3 linked regions of the Tamandua tetradactyla genome follow. The protein of the gene in region 2 purifies or fractionates together with the protein of the main gene of each other region. This does not show direct contact. Links are inferred from orthologs where the notes say so. Each region holds a gene or a part of one and is shown on either strand. Other genes may lie near its edges. The genes, in order: FOXG1, TLE1 and HES1.

Region 1 (7,403 bases), on a different chromosome or scaffold from region 2:
AAAAATAAATGCTGACTTAGAAAGTATAAATACAAATATTTTGAACAAAAATGTTTGCAGCATTCATAGCGCAAATTGTACCTGAACTGAAGGGCTCTCTGTGCCTATATATATTACATATGTGTGCATTATATTCACTTCTATCTAACCATATACATATATATTTATTTATAATTTGCCAAGTGCTATACAAGATACCTGAAACAAAATATATAAAAAGTAAGCATTCTATGAACTGATTTGAAAATTGAACACAAGGTAAATCGCTAAGCACATAAAATTAAATTATATCTTTTTGCTGTATATCTACAGAAACTTAAAAGATACCAGCTGAAAAGCCTATACTATTTTTCAAGCTAGCATTTATCAAATAGTCTGCTCCTTATAAAGTTTGATTCCACAGTGGGAAAAAAAAAATACTCCTTCCACTTAAAAATCTCAGTTTGAACCAAAGGAGCAGTTTCAATATTAGGTTGGCTGAAAGAGCCTTTGAATTCCCTATAACTTTAATGGGCTTTTAAAAATTAGCTCTATTTAACAAAAGAGACAAAAGTATCAAGATATATATGAATTTAGCCTATTTTTTATTTCTGTGTGTTCATAGTAAACATTTTTGTAAGTGACAAACACGGGCATATGACCACAGTATCACAATCAAGAAATTTTAAGACAACATTAACAATCACTCAAATTTATGCGGCATCTGCGCAACACAGGTTACATATTTGCAAGGTTTACCTATAAGTACAATAGGTATTAACATTTCACTACATTTAGAAAAAATAAAAGTGACCTGTTAGTGACCACATACATCAAAATATACACAACACAAACTGAAGGCAATCATTAATTTTGTCCCCTTCCAATTCATTTGAATGGGCAGTGCTGCCAACTGAAACAACTTTCCTTTGTTGCTGTTGATTTTTGTTTGTTTGTTTGTTTGTTTGTTAATACTTAGAATACCAAGTGCATTTTCTAGAACCCAATCTTTGGTCTAAAAGTAAACAAAAGAAAAAAACAGCTCTTTAAAGAAAAGGACAAAACAATAAATGGCCAAAATAATCTCTTGGGCACCTTTACTATGAATGCTTCTTAAATACAAATTACAGTTTAACATTGTAAAACTCTCCCCATAATTTAGGTTGTTCTCAAGGTCTGGTCCACCATCTAGATCCATGATAACTTATAATACTGCACACATGGAAATCTGGCGGCTCTCAGAGATAGACTCCTCAGGTTTGAATGAAATGGCAAAGCAGTCACTATTTAGATACACGTTCTACTATAATTTTGACTTCCGAACCTTATATTCTACAATGTATTCTCCTCACATTGCACCTCGCTGACACTCCACACCTTGTTAGAGTAATAAACAACCCTAAAGACTGAACAAACGTACAGAAATGGGGGCGGGGGGGGCGCTTAATAAAAAATACCTGGACTTATTTTTTAATTATCATTTACAATGCAAATGTGTGTAAAACGTTCACTTACAGTCTGGTCCCAGGGATGTTAATGTATTAAAGGGTTGGAAGAAGAACCCTGATTTTGATGTGTGAAATAATCAGACAGTCCTCCCGACAGTCCCGTCGTGAAACTTGGCAAAGAGGGTCTTAAAGACTCACAGGGCAGGGTCGAGGGGGCCTGCGGCGACGTGGAGGACGACGCCGCCCGGGCGCTCATGGACGTGCTGCTCTGCGAAGTCATTGACGGGTGCGGGACGTGGGGGAAAAAGTAACTGGTCTGGCCCGCGAGCAGATTGACCGAGCAGGGGTTGAGGGAGTAGGTCCCGGAGCAGGGCACCGACAGGCCGCAGGGCACCGAGGCGGCGAGCGCGGCGGCCGTGAGGTGGTGCGTGGCGTACGGGATCTCCCCGTTGACCAACCGGTCCACGCTCAGGCCGTTGGTCGTGGAGAAGGAGTGGTTGTTGCCCAGCGAGTTCTGAGTCAACACGGAGCTGTAGGGCATGGGGTGGCTGGGGTAGGCCGACGTGGTGCCGTTGTAACTCAAAGTGCTGCTGGCGCGGGGGTGGTGCAGGGACAGGAAAGGCGACATGGGCCAGTAGAGGGAGCCGGCGCGGTCCATGAAGGTGAGGCCGGTGGAGGTGAGGCGCGCCCCGCGCTTGAAGGCCAGCTTGGCCCGCGAGGTGGTGGAGCGGCGCCGCAGCTTGCCCGTCGTGCCGCCGATGAACACGTCGTCGCTCGACGGGTCCAGCATCCAGTAGTTGCCCTTGCCCGGGTCGTCGTAGTGGCGCGGCACCTTCACGAAGCACTTGTTGAGGGACAGGTTGTGGCGGATGGAGTTCTGCCAGCCCTGCTTGTTCTCGCGGTAGTAGGGGAAGTTCTTCATGATGAACTCGTAGATGCCGTTGAGCGTGAGCCGCTTCTCGGGGCTCTGCCGGATGGCCATCATGATGAGCGCGTTGTAGCTGAACGGCGGCTTCTCGTACTTGCCGTTCTTCTTCTCGCCCTCCTTGCCCCCCTCCCCGTCCTTGCCGCCCTCGCCCGCCCCCTTCTTCTCCTCCCCCCCGGCCGCGGCGCCCTTCTCCTTCTCGTCCGGCCCGACGGGCGCCAGCTCCCCGGGCCCGCCGCCCGGCTCGCCCTTGCCGCCCAGTCCGTCCGCTTTGGCCCCGTCCAGGGCGGCGGCGGGCGGCGGCGGCGGCGGCGGGAGCAGCAGCTGCTGGGGGCCCTTGTCGTCGTCGGCGGCGGCGGTCGGGGCGCCCCGCGCCTGGGGGGGCTGCGGCGCCGGGGGCGGCGGCGGCGGCGGTGGGGGCTGCTGCTGCGGCGGCGGCGGCGGTTGCGGGGCGGGCGGCGGCGGGTGGTGGTGATGGTGGTGGTGGTGGTGGTGGTGGTGCGGGGGGTGGTGGCTGTTGTGGTGGCCGTGACTCGCGTGGTGGTTGTCGTTCTGGACTGCCTCGGGCACCAGGCTGTTGATGCTGAACGAGGACTTGGGAATCATTTTCACCTCTTTCCTATCTCCCATGTCCAGCATCACCCAGTCGTCGGGGGGAAACGGCGGCGGCGGCGGCGGCGGCACTGGAGCCGGAGCGGGGCAGCGGCGCGGCGGGCGGCGGCGACCGGTGGGTGCCGAGCGGGGCTCGGGCGGCGCGGGCTGCGCGGGCGGCGGCGGCGGCACTGAGCGCTCCGGCAGCAGCGCAGTTGGACCGCAGGCTCGGGCGCTGGCAAGTCATGTAGCAAAAGCAGCAACCACCCCTCAGGAATTAGAAAAAAAAAAGGGGGGAAAGAAAAAGAGAAAGAAAGAGAAAAAAAGAAACAACCACCGCCCCGGGGGTGAAGCTCCCTCGCTCCCAACTCTACTTCATGGTCTCCCCCCCACCCCCCGGTTCCCCCCCCCCCCTGCTGCTTCCTCCTCCTCCTCCTCTCGCAGCAGCAGTCACAGCAGCAGCAGCAGCAGCCCAAAGGGGGGGAGAGCCGGGCGGCGGGCGGGCGCGTCCCGGAGCGGCCGCGACAAGGCTGGGGAAGACAGCGATCGAGGCGGCTATAGCCACAATTAATTTTCCGAGCTACAGGCGCACACTAGGGCTGTAAAAAAATTTTTGGTTTAACCTTTCCTATCACTGGGCCAATCAGAACCGGCGGCGTGCGGGAGCGTCTCTCCTGCGGTCGGCCAATCGGCGTGCCTGGGCCCTCCCCCCACCTCCGCCCCGCCCGCCGGCTCCCGCCCCCTCGGGCGCTCGCCTCCCCCTCTCCGCGGGCCTCGAGCCCCGCGGCCGCGCCGAACTGCGCAGGGATACGCCGGCGGGAGCACGCTGCGCCGCGGCTCCACGGCGCGGCCCTTTTCTGTGCCCCCTCCACCCCCTCCACCCCGCTGGCTCTGCTCAACCGAAATCCCCCTCTTAGGGCAAAGAGCTCACGTTTCCGGCTTCCTTGTCATTGCACTGGGTCATTTTCGTTATAAGCGTCAATACTGTTTCCTTATTGATTAAAGTTCGCGTCCAGTTTTATTTTTAAAAGCGGGGGTGGGGGGAAGGCAGAGAGTGGGAGCTCCGGGGAAGGATGCAAGAAAAGGGCAGGAAATGGAGGAAGAAGCGATGAGAAACTCTCTGGAGTCGGCTCTGCTGGCCCGGGTCTGGCATGTTTGAGCCCGTAGGGAAATTGTGCCCTTGTAGGTAACATTCGAACGAGGCTTTTGATGGTTGGGAAGGGAAGGCCCACCCCTGGCGTGGGGGGGGGGTCCTCTACCTTGGGGGAGGAGAGTCTAGGAGAGGTTTGGGAACCGTGGGATGAGGAGGAGGAAGCGGGCAGGCGAGTGCGGGGCCAAGCAAGGGTTACTTACTCGGTTCCTGCGGCCCGGCAGCGGCCAACTCGGGGCTCGGGCGCCTCGGGAAAGCCAGGCCTGTGGCTCCCGGCGCGGCGGCAGCGGCGGCGACGGCGGGCGGGGGCGGCTCAGTGGTGGGCGTCTCTGATGGTCTCCCGAAATGAGAGGTTCCCAGAGAGAAAACAAAACCAAACAATCTCGAAATAAACCAGGTAACACATGTTATATATGTGCCTCTATTCCTTTCCTTTCTCTCCTGCTCCACATCGTCGTTCACGCGCGGGGTGACTCGGTGTCTTTTCTTCTCGCCGCTCCAGCTTCTCTTCAGCTTCTAATTCGTATTGGAAGCGAGGTGGCCGCGAGCCATTACCCTGGAAATGTTTTCATTTTGCTCGTTGACATTAGACGGAAAATAAGGGTAGGCGTCTCTTTCTTTCTTTCTTTCTTTCTTTTTTAAATTTTCTTATGTTCAGCCCCCTTTTTTCTTTCCGTTTCTCAAATGCCTTTATTTTTCGCGGGCCTCAATCCTGAAGCAACAGCATCCTGAAACCAGCCCCTTCCCACCCTGGATGCTGCTGGAAGGCTCCTTGGAGCCATGGGAACGTGGGTCTCACAATCTTGGCCTTTGGGGCTGGGAAGGGTTGGTTGAAGGCTGAAATGAGTGGGGAAATTGCGAATCGGGGGGCTTTAAATGGATCCCGTGGCCAGGGGCAGGGCTAAGGCCCAGCATTTCCCAGGGATTGGAATTTGGTGGGGAGTGCACCGATCAAAGACTGTTTCATCCCACATGGGCAGGAAACACACCACGTTTTACAGAGGATGTAGCCTGGGAGGTGAGGGAGGTGGATAAAAGAAAAACACCTTTTCCCTCCTCCCCAAGGTAAATAATCATAAAACACAAGCGTTTCTTCACTCTGATAAACCCTCCGTTAAATTATCTGGCTGGCTTGGTAGTTAAGAAAACGGAGGAAGAAAGATGGGTGTTGCGTGCGATGTTGAAAATTAAAGTTCAATTCTAATATAAGGACTGCAGATCATTATTCCAGTGCCCCCCACCCCACCCCACTTCCATACACCTGAAATCTTGAGAGAGAGAGAGAAAAGAATTACAATTGGCTAGTGACTTTTTAATATGTATTTCAGGGACGCCACAAAGAGCTTTGGATATTAGACCAGATTTAAACAACCTTCCACTGTATGCTTTTTTTTTTCTGTCCACACATTTCCTTACTTTAAAACGCACTATTTACATATGGAAAAATTCAAGGGTTCCTGCAATCAGCTTAGATAGTGACATGGCCCCCCAAACATTGACTCTTAAACTCGGGATTTCTCACCGAGCCCGGGGAGCTAGTGGGCTTGGCCACCCGGTCTGGAGAGATCTGTGGCTCTTCCTCTTCCAGCTCAGCTCCACTCCTCCCACACTTCTCCCCTCCTCAGGCCTGTTCTTTCTACTTTTCCTAAACTCTCTTTCCTCCCTCCTCCCCTCTTCCTCCCTTCTTTCCCCTCCCTCCCTCCACCCTTTCCCCTCCCTCCATCACTCTCCCTCTCCCACCTACTCCTCCCCATTTCTCCCCCCCCCACCCCCCTTCTCACCATCACTTATAATGGCACGCAGGGCTCCCTCTGAGGTGGACGGCCCGGTACGTTTTCGTAGTCGGTCTAGCGTGAAATGATTCGGTGTAACCGGATTCTTGGGAAAGGACAGGTTACGTAAACATTTACTGATGTGGAGTAACTATACTATTTGTACTCTGATATGCAGGAAGGAAAGTGTTGATTAACACAGAAGAAAAAAAAGCGAAATTAGCTGATTGCATGCTCATAAGTGCAAGCTGTCATTGAACTGCTTTTAAAATAGACACAGCTGGGTGTTTGTGTTGAAAAATTTCTTGTGTTTTTGCTAATACTGAAATAAGCATGATTTTGTATACCAAACATTTTCAGATCATTAAAATTTGTAATCTGTGCTGGTTTTAAACACAAAGAAAAGAAACAGCATCATTTCGATGTAAAATTTGCTGATATTATATTAACTCAATCAGGTCTGTACAAATTGTGCATTGTGCCTCCTAAAATCTGTTTGATCAATTTAATACACAAAGTGCCAAACGTGGGTATTGTTTGTTAACATTGGACATTTTATTCAAATCCGAGCTCTGCAGCAAACTGGAGCAGCATTCCTTGAATACAACGCCAGCTCTGCCTGATGAATTTTTAATGTTTTAAGGTGTTTCTTAGGTCAAAGCTGAGAGGGCATTGTTTTGTAAGCCAGTATAAAAAATTTTAGCAGGTGAAAATAAGTTTTTCTTCTGTTTACTTTCAAACAGCAAAAACTGGGGTTTGCTAATGAGAGTTGTAATAATCTGCTTTTATGTGCCAGGAACTTATATTGACTGTGAAACATTTTCATGCAAACCAAGAATGTGCTATATTATTTTAAGGATTGCAAGGATACAGGACACTCAAAACAGGGTATCTGTGTAAGAGCAAATGGTATATAGTTTAATATAATCATATTAGAAATCTATTCTCCCTGATGACAAAGGTCAATTGCCATGTTCAGGGAAGTGGGTTTGAATACCTCCTATTAATTTAAATGCCCTTTATGGTGAGATAGGGCGATATATATATAGTGGGTAGGGTTGTTCAACAAAAGATGCACTGTTTACTCAGCGGCCCACGTTTGTCTCCCCAATGGCTTCTTTTTAGAAATGCTACTTGCTGAAATAGAGGGGGGAGGGGTTCTGGGACTGAGTATTGTGTGAGTTGAAAGTCCTTGGACAGGGCTTTGTACATCCTACCAGCCAATTTGGGGTGCAAATTGGATTTGAAGCCCTGCCCACAACCACATAGGGCCTCTTCCCAAAGCACATGAATCCCTAACTCTGTATTTCTAGCCATACTCAGTCTGTGATTACCTTTAGAAGATATCTAGTTATCTCACATCTGAAACAAATTCTATATTATTTATTTATGTATTGCTTATGATCAGTTTCATCTCTGTCTCTCTCTCTCACACACACACATCTATAAATGTGCTGTTAGTGAATAAAAGCAGAAGTCAGAGCAAATGTAATTTTCTGGTATGATGTAAACTTTTCTTCTTCTCTCCTCCCAAAAGA
Region 2 (7,427 bases):
ACCACCTGCAAGTAGACAATAGGTCAAAAACAAGAAAACCCCAGAAAAATAAGAAAATTGATGCCCAAACCACTTAGCCTCATCTAATTTCAACAGGAGCAACATTTCTGGAAAATCTACAATGGGCCAGGAACCATGCAAATAATTTTCATTTATAAATCCTTTGAATTGGGAGGTAGGTGTCCTTAGATGAAGAAACTAAGGCTGAGATGTATATAAAATTGACTCCAATTACATGCTTTATCCTAAACTACCCAGAATGATATCAAAGCAGGTGTGCTTTCTCCTACACACTACACTAATGATGGGTAGAGCCAAATGCCAGCCTTCCACTATGGACTTTGCCTCAGACAACCTAATTCCCAAGTATGGCAAACAGTGATTTCAACACTGGTTTTGCCTCCAGGAACCCACACTCCAGGGCTGAGGCATCGACTGAATCAATGTTTCAGGCCTAGCCTGTTGCAAAATAAATAAGTTAAGTGCAAATATTGACGGTTCTTATGCAACTCCCAAATACACGAAAAAGGATTCTTTGGAACAGCAGCAAAAGGGTAAAAGGGAAACAATGGGAGGAGGAGGAGACAAGAGAAGAAGAGGAGGCCCGGGAAGAGCCAAGAAAGAGGGGAACTTGAAATGACAGGTCTTAACTGCAACTCCACACGCCACCGCCTGGACGCAAGTACTAAGTACAGCCGCCGCCATCCGGCTGGGCAGAGGGGCATGCGGCCACCAGAGACCAATGCCCTGACAACCACTCTCCCGCCACCGCCGACACGCACCTGTGATACTGCGCCTGTAGGAACTGGAATTCTTCCTTGATCCTGTCCAGGGACTCCGGGATAGTGAACTTGAAGGGCTGGCCTGCAGCCTGGTGCGGCGTCTGGGGGCGACAAGCGAGGGGCACCGAGAATTGGGGGTGCGGGTGGATGTACACATAAAGCAGTAAGTCAGAAAAGGGAGAAGTGGGTGGGACATAAACAAAAAATAAAGTTAGAAGAGGCGGATACTGAAGCCCCGAACTCGCCTCTCCGTTTCACTCTGGGAAGGGGAGAGAAGGACACTCCCCCAGTCCCCAGCTTCTAAAGAGGCTAGGAACCGCTTCCAGGGCGGGTCGTAATTAAGTGTGCCCACATCACCCGGCCGGAGGGAGGGGCAGCTCCCAGAAGACCGGGTAGGACCAGACCAGATTGTTGTCGTCGCCTTCCCCCTCCCCCTCAGGGGCGATAATGACTCCCGGGGCCGGAGAAGAAAAACAACTCCCTTTACGTTCTCAGTTCCCAGAGTCGCCGGGGCCACCTCCAGGAGCGCCGGAACGGGGGCCGCATTGACATGCAAATAAGCGAGACAAGAAACAAAAGGGGGGGCGCCCCCCCCGGGCTCGGGGACTGGGGAGAATGTGCCTGCCAGGACAGAAACCCTAGCCTCCCCCGGCGCCCCCTTCCACCCAGTCTAGACGTCAAATAGGAGGGGGCCGAAAGAAAAGGGGGGGGGGATCCGGAGTTTCAGGCCACTCTGCACCCCGGGGAACCAGGGCTCTGGACCTCCCCAGTTTTGCACCCCTGGGGGTGAGGAGACCTGGCAGCCGCCCGTCTCCCTACTGCTCGGGAAACAGCACCCTGACCCCCCCCACACACACACACACTGGGCCGCTCCTCACCGGGTGCCGGCTCTGCGGGAACATAGCTCTGGCGGAGGCCGCGGCTCTGTTCCTGGGCAACTCAATTCTTCGCTCAATTTCCAACTTTAATCCCACCGAGGAAAATTAAGCCAGGAAGCCAAGCAGAAGCGGGGCGCGCAGGGGGCGGAAGGGTGGGGGGCGATGACCACGCACGCAGGCGCGCTCAGAGGGGCGCACCGCCGCTCCGCGCCCGCGGTTACTCCTACTCCCGCCGCTGCGGGCTCCCGCGCTCAGGGCCACATCGTGGGGCGCCCAGGGCTCAGCTGTTCCAAGAAATTGCGCGACGACGCCAGCGCCCTGGGAGAGGGCGCGGGGGCTGCGCTCCAACCGGCGGGCCTCGGCCGCCGGGGCGGGGAGGTGAGGGCGTACTGACTCCCGCCGCGCTCCCCTCGGCGATCAGCGTGCGCAGCGCCGGTCCCGAGCTAACAAATCCAGGCGGGCTGCTTTTCTTTGCTTTTCTCCAGTCCGCCTCTCTCCGGATTTTCCCCGCAGCGGCGGCGGCGGGTGAGGAGGTGCAGGTGGAGCGGCGCCTCCGGTTAACCCCACACAAACCCGGCAACTATAGGGCCTTTGGCCGGGCGTTCGCGGGCTCCCAGGGGACCGCGGACAGCTAGGATCGGATCGCCGCGGAGGCTCCGCGCCCGGCGATGCGCAGCCTCAGCCCGGGCTGGGAAACACGGGATGACGCCGAGGCGGAGAAAGTGCGGAGGGCGCGCCGGGAGGCAGCTCGGCACGCCCCGTGCAACCAGCACTCGGTGTCCTCCGCGGTTGCACAAACCCTCCTGGCCCGACGGGGCTATTCCGTGGAGTGCAGCCCCGCAACCACCCACGGCTCCTCGGGCCCACGAAGCATCAGGGCACTGCGCCCCGCGCGAGATCGCCCCGAAGGGCCGGACTAGCCACTCCGGACCCTTCTTCGAAGCCCTTTCCTCGGTCCTCCCCTTCCCTTCGTTTGCCTCTCCGCAAAGGGCGCTCCAGCCCGCTGCAAAGTTCTCTCACGACCCCAGGGACGACATCCACGAGAGAATGGGGAGAATAGCAGGCATGCACTCCACCGCCCAGCCTCCTCCCCGGCGGAAAAACTCCGCGGGCGAGTCCGGAGTAGTCGCGGCACCGGTGGCCAGTGGAGCTTTGGTCACCACCGGTCGGCGGAGGTCCGGGCTGGTGGCGGAGGTCCCGGCTGGTGGCGGAGATCTCGCCTGGCTTCTTAGGGGGTGGAGGTGGCGCAGTCGGTCGCCTGGGGGGCGCGAGGCACGGGGTATCCGCCACTGCTGTTCCTGCAGCCGCCGGTCCCGCCGCCGCCGCCCGCGCCTCTCGCGCCGGTTACATTAACACGCGGTTTCACACTCCGGAGCTAACCAGAGCCGGCCCCGCCCAGCCCCGTACGGGCGGGGTCGCGAGCGCAGAGCCGACGGGGGACGTGGGCTCGGGCGGGGCTCGGGCAGCAGAAAGGCCCGCGTCAGCCAATCGCGCGCGCCGTGCCCAACGTGGGGTACTGACGCGCGGCTCCCCCAGAGCCTATGGCAGCGCAAGGCCAGCCAGGCTGTCCCTTCCTTCATCCCTCCCATCCCACTTGCTTCCATCTCCGCCGTCTCCCTTGTCTCCCCTGCCACCACCCCTCCTCCACCCAGCCGCGTCCTCTCAGGCTTGGTGAGGAAGTGTTCCTGGAGGAGCCTCGGACGCCGAAGCCAGCCAATGAAAAGCGGCGAGACTCAGAGATTGGCACGGAGGATGGGAAGGTCGGTGGGAAGGAGAGCAGCGGGGCTCAGCTGTCAATCAAAGTAACGTGGGGCTGCCTAGGGAGCGCGCCTTAGCGCGCGAGCGGGGTGGGGGGGGGGGGGCTGGGGGACTCGCGAGCTTGCTGCCGCCGAACTGGGGTTCGAGTTTGCAAAAATGCTGCCACTTGTTCAGTTTGCAAAAATGCTGCCACTTGTTCACTTTTTCTTTTATGAAAATCCTCAGATCTTGACGAAAGTAACTCAAGAACTAGTCGCGTTGCTTATTGGGGTGCTGCTTTGGTAGTTTTGAGTTAAAATGCGTCTTTCGGTGCTAGCCTCTTGTTTGATGCTACCCTTTTGGAATGTGAGGTCATATTCAAAAATTTCTCTGAGGTTTGTTTTTTTCCTAGACTACCTTTTCAGCAACGCATGAGAAGGAATGGACTGTGCCCTGGTGGAAACTGCCTAATGGTCAACGCATTGCGTGCGTAGGCCAGCCCTTAAGACATCACCATGGTGCCCACCACGTTTTGCCCAAGGTGGTAGGATTCGTTTTTTATTGGCGGGTATCAAATCGCTTTGCCAAAGGGTCGGCCTGCCTTCGTTTGGCGGGAGGGATTCTCAAAGGTATGCCTAGGTAAGGCAGGAGTGTACCAAAGCGCAGATGCGATACTCTGCCCGGGGCGCGAAATCTCGGGTCCTTGTCTTCAAAGTCCTGGCTTTGCTGTGATGAGGGGGAAAAAAAATCGTAGTTTTAGGAGTCTCGCAGCCACATGACCACGAGTCTGTTTCCAATTCCTGGGAACAAAGGGAGACAATGAAATAAACCAGCATTGAGACCTGAAAAACCTGTCCCACCCACCTCCATCCCCACCCCCATAATTTGGATGGTACCCCAGGGCTGATCTGTGTTCGGAGCCAGAGGGGAAGACGTGGGTAAAGGACGAGGCTAAAATTCTTACGCAGCGAAACTTGAGTTAAAAGGGATTTTTGAGATTTTTAAATAAACGGGACTCAATGTGTAAGTAAAATAAAGAGTCCCCAGTTTTTGTCTCTCTAAATAGATCACATAGAAAATGTATACTTTGAACAGTACGGTTAAGCTATTTCCATGTGACCCGTGGAAACTGTGTGTATTGGGACCTACATGACAAGCATTTCTCTTAACATTGGAACCTAGTAAACATATTTTTGGTATCAATAACTTCTACATCCCCATTATTTTACTTTGATTTTTTGTATGGGCAGGCATCGGGAATCGAACCCGGGTCTCCGGTGTGGGAGGCAACAACTCTGCCTGCTGAGCTACCGTGGCCAGCCCCATGTTATTTTACTTTTAAGAGACATATGGGAAAGCACATACATAAATGTATTTCATTCAAAGATTTGCTTTTACAGAAAACTTCTTCCTGAAATATTGAAAGAATCATTTTAAGTAATACAGTTCACAGTTGCAATTGTTTTAAAATATGTATGACATTGATTTCTCTATAATTGCATCAATCCCAATTATCAATTACAAGTGAAAAATAGAGTAGTTTTATTCAATATGCAAGGCAGTAGTAAATTCTTAAATTTGGCAGTATACTTTGCAGTGCTCTCATTAAATTTGGGAAGGAGACTATATTATTCTTTTGCTAACCTGGAGAATGAAAGAGAAGCACTGCCTCTCTTTCCGTGGTTAATTTGGTGATGACAGCGGCAGGTTTGCTCCACATACAGGACTTTTTAAAATTATATGATCCATGTGGAACTAAGCTTTGTCCTTGGGCAACCTGTGTTCTTTGAAATCTTCATCTATTTTCTGGCTGGGCCACATGGGCCAGTCTGTGATGACTTCATCTCATAATCTGAGGACTGGGTAGAAAGTTCTTTTGTGCCACAGAAATGCCTGTGGACTCTGGGACAGCTATAGCAGTCTGAGACATCTCCCTGGCTTACTTACCCAGCTTTGCCTGATGGGTATCTTAACTTACTGGTAAACACTAGCAATTAAGTATAAGCAGAGACATTAAAATGACATGTTTTGGGGCAGTAGCAAAAGTGTTGCTACTTCTCTTCCCACCCACCCCGTTCAAAATCAGTTTTAACACACTGACTTTAAATATTCTGTCATACAGCTCTTCACAGAACACGTATGTGGTTGCCACCTTTCCCAGTTTGGCCTTGGTAAAAATTGAGGATTTCTCTTTTGACCAGTGCTTCCTTACTACCTTCTGATTTCCTTATAATGTAGTATGTGGAGAAAAGAATGAATATACTGAATTTAAAATTGGAAAGCCTTTAATTGCATGAATATTTTTTCATTTCGATGGCTTCTGTCTCATACAGAGCATCCTCCTTGAGAGAGGGAGAAAGCTCTGCCCTTTTCAAGGTCATATTTTCTCCCTGATTGCCATGCTGTAATAATTATACTACAAAACTCTCATCAAACTGCATTATAAATGATGGTGTTTAAACAATCAAGTAGCCTTAATCTTCTGTTTTAAATAAATCATATATGTGCAGATTGCCTACAGCCTGTTTAAAAGAAAACAGTCCTACTCATGAAATCTATAATTTTAGTCATCTATTTGAAGTACGTTAACCATAATCTTCTTTACCTTCAACATAATCGTATGTTGATGATGTTTTTACAAGAAATAATATTAAGTGTGCTGCTTCCATAGGAAATTGTCCCTGAAGTAAAAGCAGTACCCTGTTTATCCTCTGCAAAAGAAACAGAAAGATTGCCGGCAATTTTTTTTTAAAACTTATTTGAAATACTTTCAAACGTACAGGACAGTTACAAAAATAATATAAACCTCATACAGAGAACTCAGGTCCACCAATTTGAACATTTTGTCACATTTGCCACGTCATTGTTTTTCCCTCCTCTGTCCCCTCTCTGCATCTTTCTGTCCAATCCATTTTATGAACTCTTGAGTATAGGTTTGTATACATCATGTTCCCTTACCACTTAATACTGCCATGTACATTTCCTTAAAACAAGGATATTCACTTACATAACCACCTTGAGTGCAGTTATCATGTTCAAGAAATTAACACTGATTTAAAGCTTAGACTCTATATTGTAATTTTTTCATATGTCCTGAAAATATCCTATGAGTTTTTTCTCTTTGCTTGTTTGATTCCATCCAGGATCGTGTATTGCATTTGTCATTGTGTCTTTAGTTGATCTGTCTTTTTTTTTTTTTTTAATTGTGGAGACATATATGCAACATAAAATTTCCCATCCCAACCCCTCCCATACATATCATTCAATGAGATTAATCACGTTTGCAGTATTGTGGTACCTTCACCACCTTCCTGTGTTAAAACTTTCCTGTCTCCCAAAACAGAATCCCTATACCCGTTATACTTTAAATCTCCAATCCCTCTATCCTCCACCCCTGGCCACTTGCACTCTAATTTCTGTCTCTCTGTTTACATATTCTCTGATTTTTTTTTGTACTCACCACAAAATTTAACATCCTAAATCTATAACAATCTCATTTGCTTCGATGCCATAGTATATACCGTCCCCCACCTTTATGTAATTCTTCTCACAAATTACATGTTTATATATTATGAGTCCAAAACCACTGATATCTCATTACATTTTTACCTTTGCCTTTTAAATCCTTTAGCAAGTAAAAAGTGGAATTACCAACCAAAAATACAAGAGCACTGGCATTTATCTTTACCCGGTTGTTACCCTCCCTGGTGAGCTTTATCGCTTCAGCAGCTGTGACCTATTGTCTATTGTCCTTTCCTTTCAACCTCCAGAGCTCTCTTGAGCATCTCTTGTAATTCTGGTCTAGTGCTGACAACTCCCTCAGCTTTTGTTTACAGGGAATGTCTTAATCTCTCCTGCATTTTAAAAAGACACTTTCGCCAGATATAGAATTCTTAGGTGGCAATTTTTTGTTGTTAGTACTCTAAATATGCCATCCCACTGCCTTCTTGCCTCCATGGTTTCCAATGAGAAATCAGCACTTAATCTTACTGAGGCTCCCTCATACATGGCCTGCCAATTTTCTCTGGTA
Region 3 (7,165 bases), on a different chromosome or scaffold from region 2:
CTGATTAACTATTTGATTAAAGGCTGCTTTAGGCACTGCAGTGAGACCCTAACTGGACTATTTCAATAAACATTCTCCACACACCTTCAGGGTGCCCAGTCCTGAGGGGATGACAGAGCCAGAGACATTAAGTCTCCTAGACTAGGGGGGTCGGAGTAACATGCCCAGATAGTAATTAAGGCCCACTGAGGAGCAGATGCTAGTCAGTGTCACAGCAGAGTTTAGGAAGACACTTGCTCTGACATATTTGAGGGGAACCTGGAAAGTGTTAACATGCTTCTCTGGGAGGGGTTTAGTGCCTTGGAATAATCTGGGTCAGTGTAATTATGTAGTTTTTTAAAAAGTCAGACAGCAAGTACAAGCATTTTAAGAATTTTCCAAGTGTTTTGGGGGCAAGGCAGAAATGAAGGTAACTTCATAGGCTCTTCATCTTTCACCAAGATTTCAAACACACAGGGAAACCCCCCCTTTTTTTTCAAAAGCAACAGACAATTTTCTGTCATCACCTCTTTTCCATCTGTTTAAAATAAGAACTACCTATTGGCCCTGCTTGCAAGTCAACAGAGGAGGCATTGTTCAACATTTCTTCCGAACAAGATAGGGCATAGCCCATTTTGTACTGTTAAGAGAAAACGAAAAATCCCGCAGAGAGCAGCCCAAGGGGCAAGAATGAGTAAATGAAGCCTGCAATGAGGTAAAGGTTTGGCGGCAGACTTCAGGGCTCTCCTGGCAGTAAAAATGAGACTTGGAAGGTAAATATAGTCAGAGCCACAATGACTCCTTATTTAGACTCCAGATGGTGGTGGAACAGGTAACATTGCTTTAAAGGGTAGGCAGGTTTTTGCTGATCACTGGACAGTGCATAGTCAATACTCAGGTGAGCCAGTTCCAGGCAGGTGCTTCCTGGGTCAGTCTACACCTGCCACTTAGGAATCTACTTAACTGGAAGGAACCTCCTCCCCAAACTCTGTCACCAAACCCTCCATTCCACCCTCCATACTTCTGCCAGGGCCATCTTCCTAGATGAGATCCTTGACATCCCTTCTCTGCTCGAAAACATTCTACAGCTCTCCACTATCTAAAGATAAAGCCCAAAGTCTTTTATCAACACATTTAAGGGTCTTATGACATGGCCTTCTCCAGGTGTTTCTTGTAGTCCTGCCTGTCACAGACCCTGGGCTCCAGATCTAGTTCCCTGAATAAGGACCTCAAGTTCCAGAGTCTGGGCCTTTAATGCCACAAGGTACTTTCACACTTCCTCAGCGCCATGACTCCTCCCTACATTTCCAACACCCCAATTCTACCTATTTTTCAAAGTACAAAGCGAGGCCACCTCCTCCAGGAAGTTTCCCAAGATACCCAACTTATAAACAGTTTAATTTCTCTGAACCTCCATAGCATTTTACCTCTTGTTTGGATACATTAACTTTCTCTTGAACCTAGGACCTACTAGAGGAACATATTGGGAAATCAAGAGCTGTCAGCTGCACAGAGTATATGTACCTCTAGGCTGCGGGCTTCCTGAGGTCAATAACTCTCCCATCCACCCCTGTAACCCATAGGGGAGAACTGCAATAGTGTGGTTTAGTGTTTCTTTGGGGCCCTCCTAGTCTTTCCTTTAAGCTCCAAAGGAAAGGAGTAATAGACAATCAGAACCACCAATCAGAAAATCAGGAACTTTCAGTCGGCCTCCGCAGTTGACTGTAAACTCCTTGCAGGCTGCCTCTGTATCTCATCGTGGTAATCCCAGGGTTTAACAGTGTCTGGCACAGAACGTGCGCTCCACGATGAAAGAAAGGTCACGCAGTCAGGAACTGATGAATCTTATCCGGGACGTGATCTGGTGAAATCATAACATTCTCAGTGGGGAGCTCGGAGGAAAGAAGGAATGAAGTGTGTTAAGAATGTGTGCCAGGCTACCGGCGGCCTTCTCCGAGGGCCGCCGGGACGGAGGAAGGGGTGGGGGGAAGCCCAGGGCGACTTCAAACAGGACACTCGGCACCCGGGGTGCTCTGAACCGCCAGAACAGCGCGTCGAGCTCAAGGGTGGGGGCGCGGGGACCGGCGACCGGGGCAGACTGGCGGGCGGGTGGTGGCGGCCAGCCGGCCCAGGCAGTGCGAGCCGCCGGCTAGAAGCGGCAAATCCCCCTGGGAGGCCGCCGCCAGCGCCCTGGCGCTCCCGACCCGGCGCCCGCCACGTGGCACCCGGCGGCGGCGGCTCCTCCCGGCGCACGGCCCGGCCAGCCGGCAGCACGCAGCCGCCCGCGCCGCCCGCCTCCTCCCGGCCGCCCGCCGGCGGCCTCCGGGCGCAGCGAGGGGGAGTCACCGGCCGCCCTGGACCGGGAGAAGGGGCGGGCGGCGCGAAGCCGCTTTAACCGCAGCCGCCGAGCGGAGGCAGGAGGCTGACCCGGCTGCTTCCTAAGTGCGGTCAGGCATCTTGTGACCGCGGCGGGCGCCGAGAGTCCCGCGGAGGAGTGGGGGTGGGGGCCCAGGGCAAGAAGCAAACAAGGAAGCCCCCCACCCCCATCCCCGGGCTGCTGCAAGCGAGGATGCCCGGCGTGTTCAAACCCCCAAGCCCGAAATCGGGGGTGGAGGATGGGGGAGGTTTTGGAACAAATCCCTGCTCTCCTCTCTGGGGCGTGCGCTCCCCGCCCGGAAGGGCTGACCTTGGCCGGGGAGGGTTCAGGGGAAAGCGCCGGGACTGGGCTCCCAGCCCGCCGCCCCCTCGGATTCCTGGATCGGCGGGGGCCGGAGGAGGGGGCCCCCGGACACACACGCACACGCACACACACACACACACACACACACACACACACACCCCACAGGCAGCGCGCGCCAATGAGCCCGGGCCGGGCGCGGGGGGCGGGGTTTTCCCAGGCTCCAGCACAGCAGCTGCTATTTACCTTCTTGGCTTCTCCCGGGGACCAGGAACCAGCCCCCGCGCTCCGCTGCCCGCCGCCACCCCCCCCCCCCCCCGCCTCCCTGCCCCCGGGGCGCGCGCGCATACACACTCACACACGCACGCACACACACATCCTCCCGGTCCGGCCGCAGCCGCGGCGGCAATAAAACATCCTGGCACGTGCTCCAGCTCCAGGCGCGCCCTCGCCGGCCGGCTGATGTCAAACTGCATCTCGGCTGGTGCAGCTCTTAAAGGGGCCGCGCGCACCGGCGCCTAGACGACCCCGGCTGCCCGCCGCCTTGAGAAGGAAGGAAGAGGCTTCTGGGACGCCCGCCACCTCGACGTGCTGCAGAACGGAGAGCCTACAGGAGGAAAAAGTGGCGAGGGTGCTTCCATGTCCTAAAGGCATTGCCAGCAAAGTCCCCCTTGTTCGTCTTTTATTTGAAATTCCATTTCCCTTCCTTTTTGGAAAATTTTCAGATTGTTTCCTGGGGAAGCGCGGGTTCCAAGGCCCCAACTCCAGAAGAGGAATGGGGAAAGAAGGGGGATGGCATTCAAGAACTACTTTGCTCCGATAAGCTTGCAAATGTAAAAATGCAAGGTGGAAGGTATTTTTTCTTTTTTTTGCATGCAAATGCCAGCTTCACGCTGGCTCGACTTTCACCCACCCACCCTTCCCTAAAGAGGTATAGATTATGACCGGGAAATTCCTTAGATATTTCAGAAACTAACACCTTTGCACGCGTCCTTCCCCCCCCCCCCGCCCCGCTTTTCTTTTCACTGCTGCTAATACAATCTTTTATTTTTACCCTTCTAAACCTGTTAATATATATATATATATATATATTTCTCAAGCTTTTTATCAGTTAAAGAGATTCTAATAGGCATTAGGAAAGAGAATATAGAGCAAAGATCCTAGCCCCAAAAGTAATAAACTACGTTAGACCAAAACCAGGGCAGAAAATTCCTCTCTACAGCAAAGCTTGGCTGGGAGAGTAACGAAGGGTTAAAATGCTTTTGATTGACGTTGTAGCCTCTGGTGCCCCGGGCTCAGGCGCGCGCCATTGGCCACCAGACCTTGCGCCTGGCGGCCAATGGGGGGGCGCGGTCCACGAGCGGTGCCGCGTGTCTCCTCCTCCCATTGGCTGAAAGTTACTGTGGGAAAGAAAGTTTGGGAAGTTTCACACGAGCCGTTCGCGTGCAGTCCCAGATATATATAGAGGCCGCCAGGGCCGAGGGATCACACTGGATCCGGAGCTGGTGCTGATAACAGCGGAATCCCCAGTCTACCTCTCTCCTTGGTCCTGGAATAACGCTACCGAAAACCAAGTAGCCATAAAATATTACAATAAACTCTCAGAACTTGCTCAGTAATTTTGTGTAAGTCTCAAATAAAAGGGACATAAACAAAAAAATTTTTTGAGTGTGAAGGACTCCAAAAATATAATTCTCTAGGGATTAAAAAAAAAGAAAGGAAAATGCCAGCTGACATAATGGAGAAAAATTCCTCGTCCCCGGTGGCTGCCACCCCAGCCAGTGTCAACACGACACCGGATAAACCAAAGACAGCATCTGAGCACAGAAAGGTAAGGGCGGTGCTTGTGTGTCTCTATAGCGCCCAAGAAATTAAGTTGGGGTTGGGGGCGCCTTTCTCGCTTAAAATTCAGGGGTGAAATGGCAGATCTTCTGGGAATTCAGGGCCCTTACTGATTTTTTTTATTTCTGCAGTCATCAAAGCCTATCATGGAGAAAAGACGAAGAGCAAGAATAAATGAAAGTCTGAGCCAGCTGAAGACACTGATTTTGGATGCTCTTAAGAAAGATGTAAGTGGGGGATACTGCTTTTATTCATTTAATAAAACATTTCATAATAAATACGATTTCTCTGCAGCTAGGGGTGAAACCCCTCGCAGACTGGATACTGCCAGTCAGCGCCGCGTTCTCCGAGGCGGGAGGGTCGGGCCTCTCGCGGGGATACCGGGATATTGGCGTGGCGGCTGGAGGGAGGGTCTCCAACCCTTGGAGACGGATGGCAGGGTCTCACTTTCTGCTTTGCCTTCTCGCTGCAGAGCTCGCGGCATTCCAAGCTGGAGAAGGCGGACATTCTGGAAATGACAGTGAAGCACCTCCGGAACCTGCAGCGGGCGCAGATGACGGGTAAGGGCTGCTCGCTGCGTCCCCCTCTGCGGGCGTCCCTCTCGCCCTGCGGTGATTTCTTCCAGACTTCCGCTCGCGGTTGTGAGAGGCATTCAGCTACATTTTACTGCCTTGGCTCACGCTCGCGTTCCCACGGTCTGGGGTTTATTTATAGCCACAACTCCAAGTTGTTACTGTTCCGGAAAGGGAGGGAAAGAGGTTGTAGCAGCGAGGGTGGCGAGCGGCTTGGATGTGGGGGAAGCGGGTGGGGGCGGAGGACGGTAGAAAGAGGGAGGATTTAGGACCGTGGCGGGTTTGAGCTTCTTTAGAGCCTCAGCGGTCATCTGGTTTAGCACTTCCCCTCCTCCAGTTTACTGAAGGGTAAAATAAAGCTCGAATGGTGGAGGTGGGCATTGTCCAAGGTCACAACGCGCGCGGGGTGGGGGTGGGGAGCTCAGTTCTGGGGCTCGGATCGGTTTAAGTGGAGCGTCGGGGAGTGGAGGGGAGGGAGAGTCTCCACTTCGATTGCCTCGCGCCTGTGTGGAGAGGTCGCTGGTTTTGCTAAATCCACCCCAGCTGGAGGCAGTTCCGTGGTCCTGTGGTCAGGGAGGCGCGCCGCGGGGACCTCCCCGGGTGGGAGATGTTGGCCCCGGGACCAGGGCCGTTTGGTGACCCCGTCTGTCTCCTTCTGGCCCGCAGCCGCGCTGAGCACCGACCCGAGCGTGCTGGGGAAGTACCGCGCCGGCTTCAGCGAGTGCATGAACGAGGTGACCCGCTTCCTGTCCACGTGCGAGGGCGTTAACACCGAGGTGCGCACCCGGCTGCTCGGCCACCTGGCCAACTGCATGACCCAGATCAATGCCATGACCTACTCTGGGCAGCCGCACCCCGCCTTGCAGGCGCCGCCGCCGCCCCCTCCAGGGCCGGGGGGGGCCCCGCACGCGCCGTTCGCGCCGCCGCCGCCGCTCGTCCCCATCCCCGGGGGCGCGGCGCCCCCTCCCGGCGGCGCGCCCTGCAAGCTGGGCAGCTCGGCTAGCGAGGCGGCCAAGGTGTTTGGCGGCTTCCAGGTGGTGCCGGCTCCTGACGGCCAGTTTGCCTTTCTCATCCCCAACGGGGCCTTCGCCCACAGCGGCCCGGTCATCCCTGTCTACACCAGCAACAGCGGGACATCCGTGGGCCCCAACGCTGTGTCGCCTTCCAGCGGCCCCTCGCTCACGGCGGACTCCATGTGGAGGCCGTGGCGGAACTGAGGGGCTTAAGCCACCTCTCCGCTAAACTCCCCACCAACCTCTCTTCCCTCTGGACTCGAAACCCGAACTTGGACTCTGGGAGAGAAGAGCTCTTTTGTCATTAAGTGGTTACTTTGTTGATTTTAATTTCTAAAAAGTTACTTTTTTTGTAGAGAGCTGTATTAAGTGACTGACCATGCACTATATTTGTATATATTTTATATGTTCATATTGGATTGCGCCTTTGTATTATAAAAGTTCAAATGACATTTCGTTTTTTACACGAGATTTCTTTTTTATGTGATGCCAAAGATGTTTGAAAATGCTTTTAAAGTGTCTTCCTTTTGGGAAGTTTATTTGAGAAAATATAATAAAAAAGTGAAGGCTTTTATGTCTTAGAACTGATTATTTCAGAATATGTAAAAAGAGGTTCTTGGTGGGATTTGAATTTTATGATTTTTTTTCATGTAATCGGTTCTTTTGTTATGAAAAGAGCCATATTTTTAAAAATCCATCCAACCTCTTAGCAACCAGGTGCTCCAGGAGCTGAGAGAGGCAATTCAATTTAATTTACAAGAACCATTCTGAGAGGGCTTCCCTGGACAATTTGTGGTCAGTCTCAGCCAGGATTCAAACCTAAGTTTGGCTAAGTCATTCACCTTGTTCTCATAGCAGCTCATTCTGAGGAAATGTGGACCAGAACTGAGTCCAGGAAGCTAATGGATGTAATCCAGTTGTCCTCTACCGCAATAGTAAGGGTGACTCCTGCAATAATATTACAATTCTGGGGTAGCTCACCAACATCCAAAGGTGAAACACAACCGCTGCAGCTTGCTGCCTTCAGAGGTCAGGGTCTTCATTAATTAATTAATCCTTAGGTGCAGCCAGACATTCCCTTG

Evidence for each region.
Region 1: the proteins of TLE1 (region 2) and FOXG1 purify together in Homo sapiens (affinity purification with western blotting; 3 studies listed by BioGRID and IntAct, with this or other methods). This does not show direct contact. The link is inferred for Tamandua tetradactyla from reciprocal best matches to the Homo sapiens genes TLE1 and FOXG1.
Region 3: the proteins of TLE1 (region 2) and HES1 purify together in Homo sapiens (affinity purification with western blotting; 4 studies listed by BioGRID and IntAct, with this or other methods). This does not show direct contact. The link is inferred for Tamandua tetradactyla from reciprocal best matches to the Homo sapiens genes TLE1 and HES1.

What each region holds. Positions count from the first base shown.
Region 1 is NC_135340.1:25,907,829-25,915,231, forward strand, and holds FOXG1 (forkhead box protein G1), read right to left. Parts: upstream 3,043-7,403; 5' UTR 2,992-3,042; coding exon 1,513-2,991; 3' UTR 568-1,512; downstream 1-567. UniProt on the Homo sapiens protein: Transcription repression factor which plays an important role in the establishment of the regional subdivision of the developing brain and in the development of the telencephalon.
Region 2 is NC_135328.1:112,657,869-112,665,295, forward strand, and holds the start of TLE1 (transducin-like enhancer protein 1), read right to left. Parts: upstream 3,019-7,427; 5' UTR 1,685-3,018; coding exon 1,661-1,684; intron 884-1,660; coding exon 783-883; intron 1-782. UniProt on the Homo sapiens protein: Transcriptional corepressor that binds to a number of transcription factors. Inhibits NF-kappa-B-regulated gene expression. Inhibits the transcriptional activation mediated by FOXA2, and by CTNNB1 and TCF family members in Wnt signaling.
Region 3 is NC_135336.1:13,984,015-13,991,179, forward strand, and holds HES1 (transcription factor HES-1), read left to right. Parts: upstream 1-4,113; 5' UTR 4,114-4,379; coding exon 4,380-4,487; intron 4,488-4,629; coding exon 4,630-4,725; intron 4,726-4,970; coding exon 4,971-5,058; intron 5,059-5,736; coding exon 5,737-6,287; 3' UTR 6,288-6,736; downstream 6,737-7,165. UniProt on the Homo sapiens protein: Transcriptional repressor of genes that require a bHLH protein for their transcription. May act as a negative regulator of myogenesis by inhibiting the functions of MYOD1 and ASH1.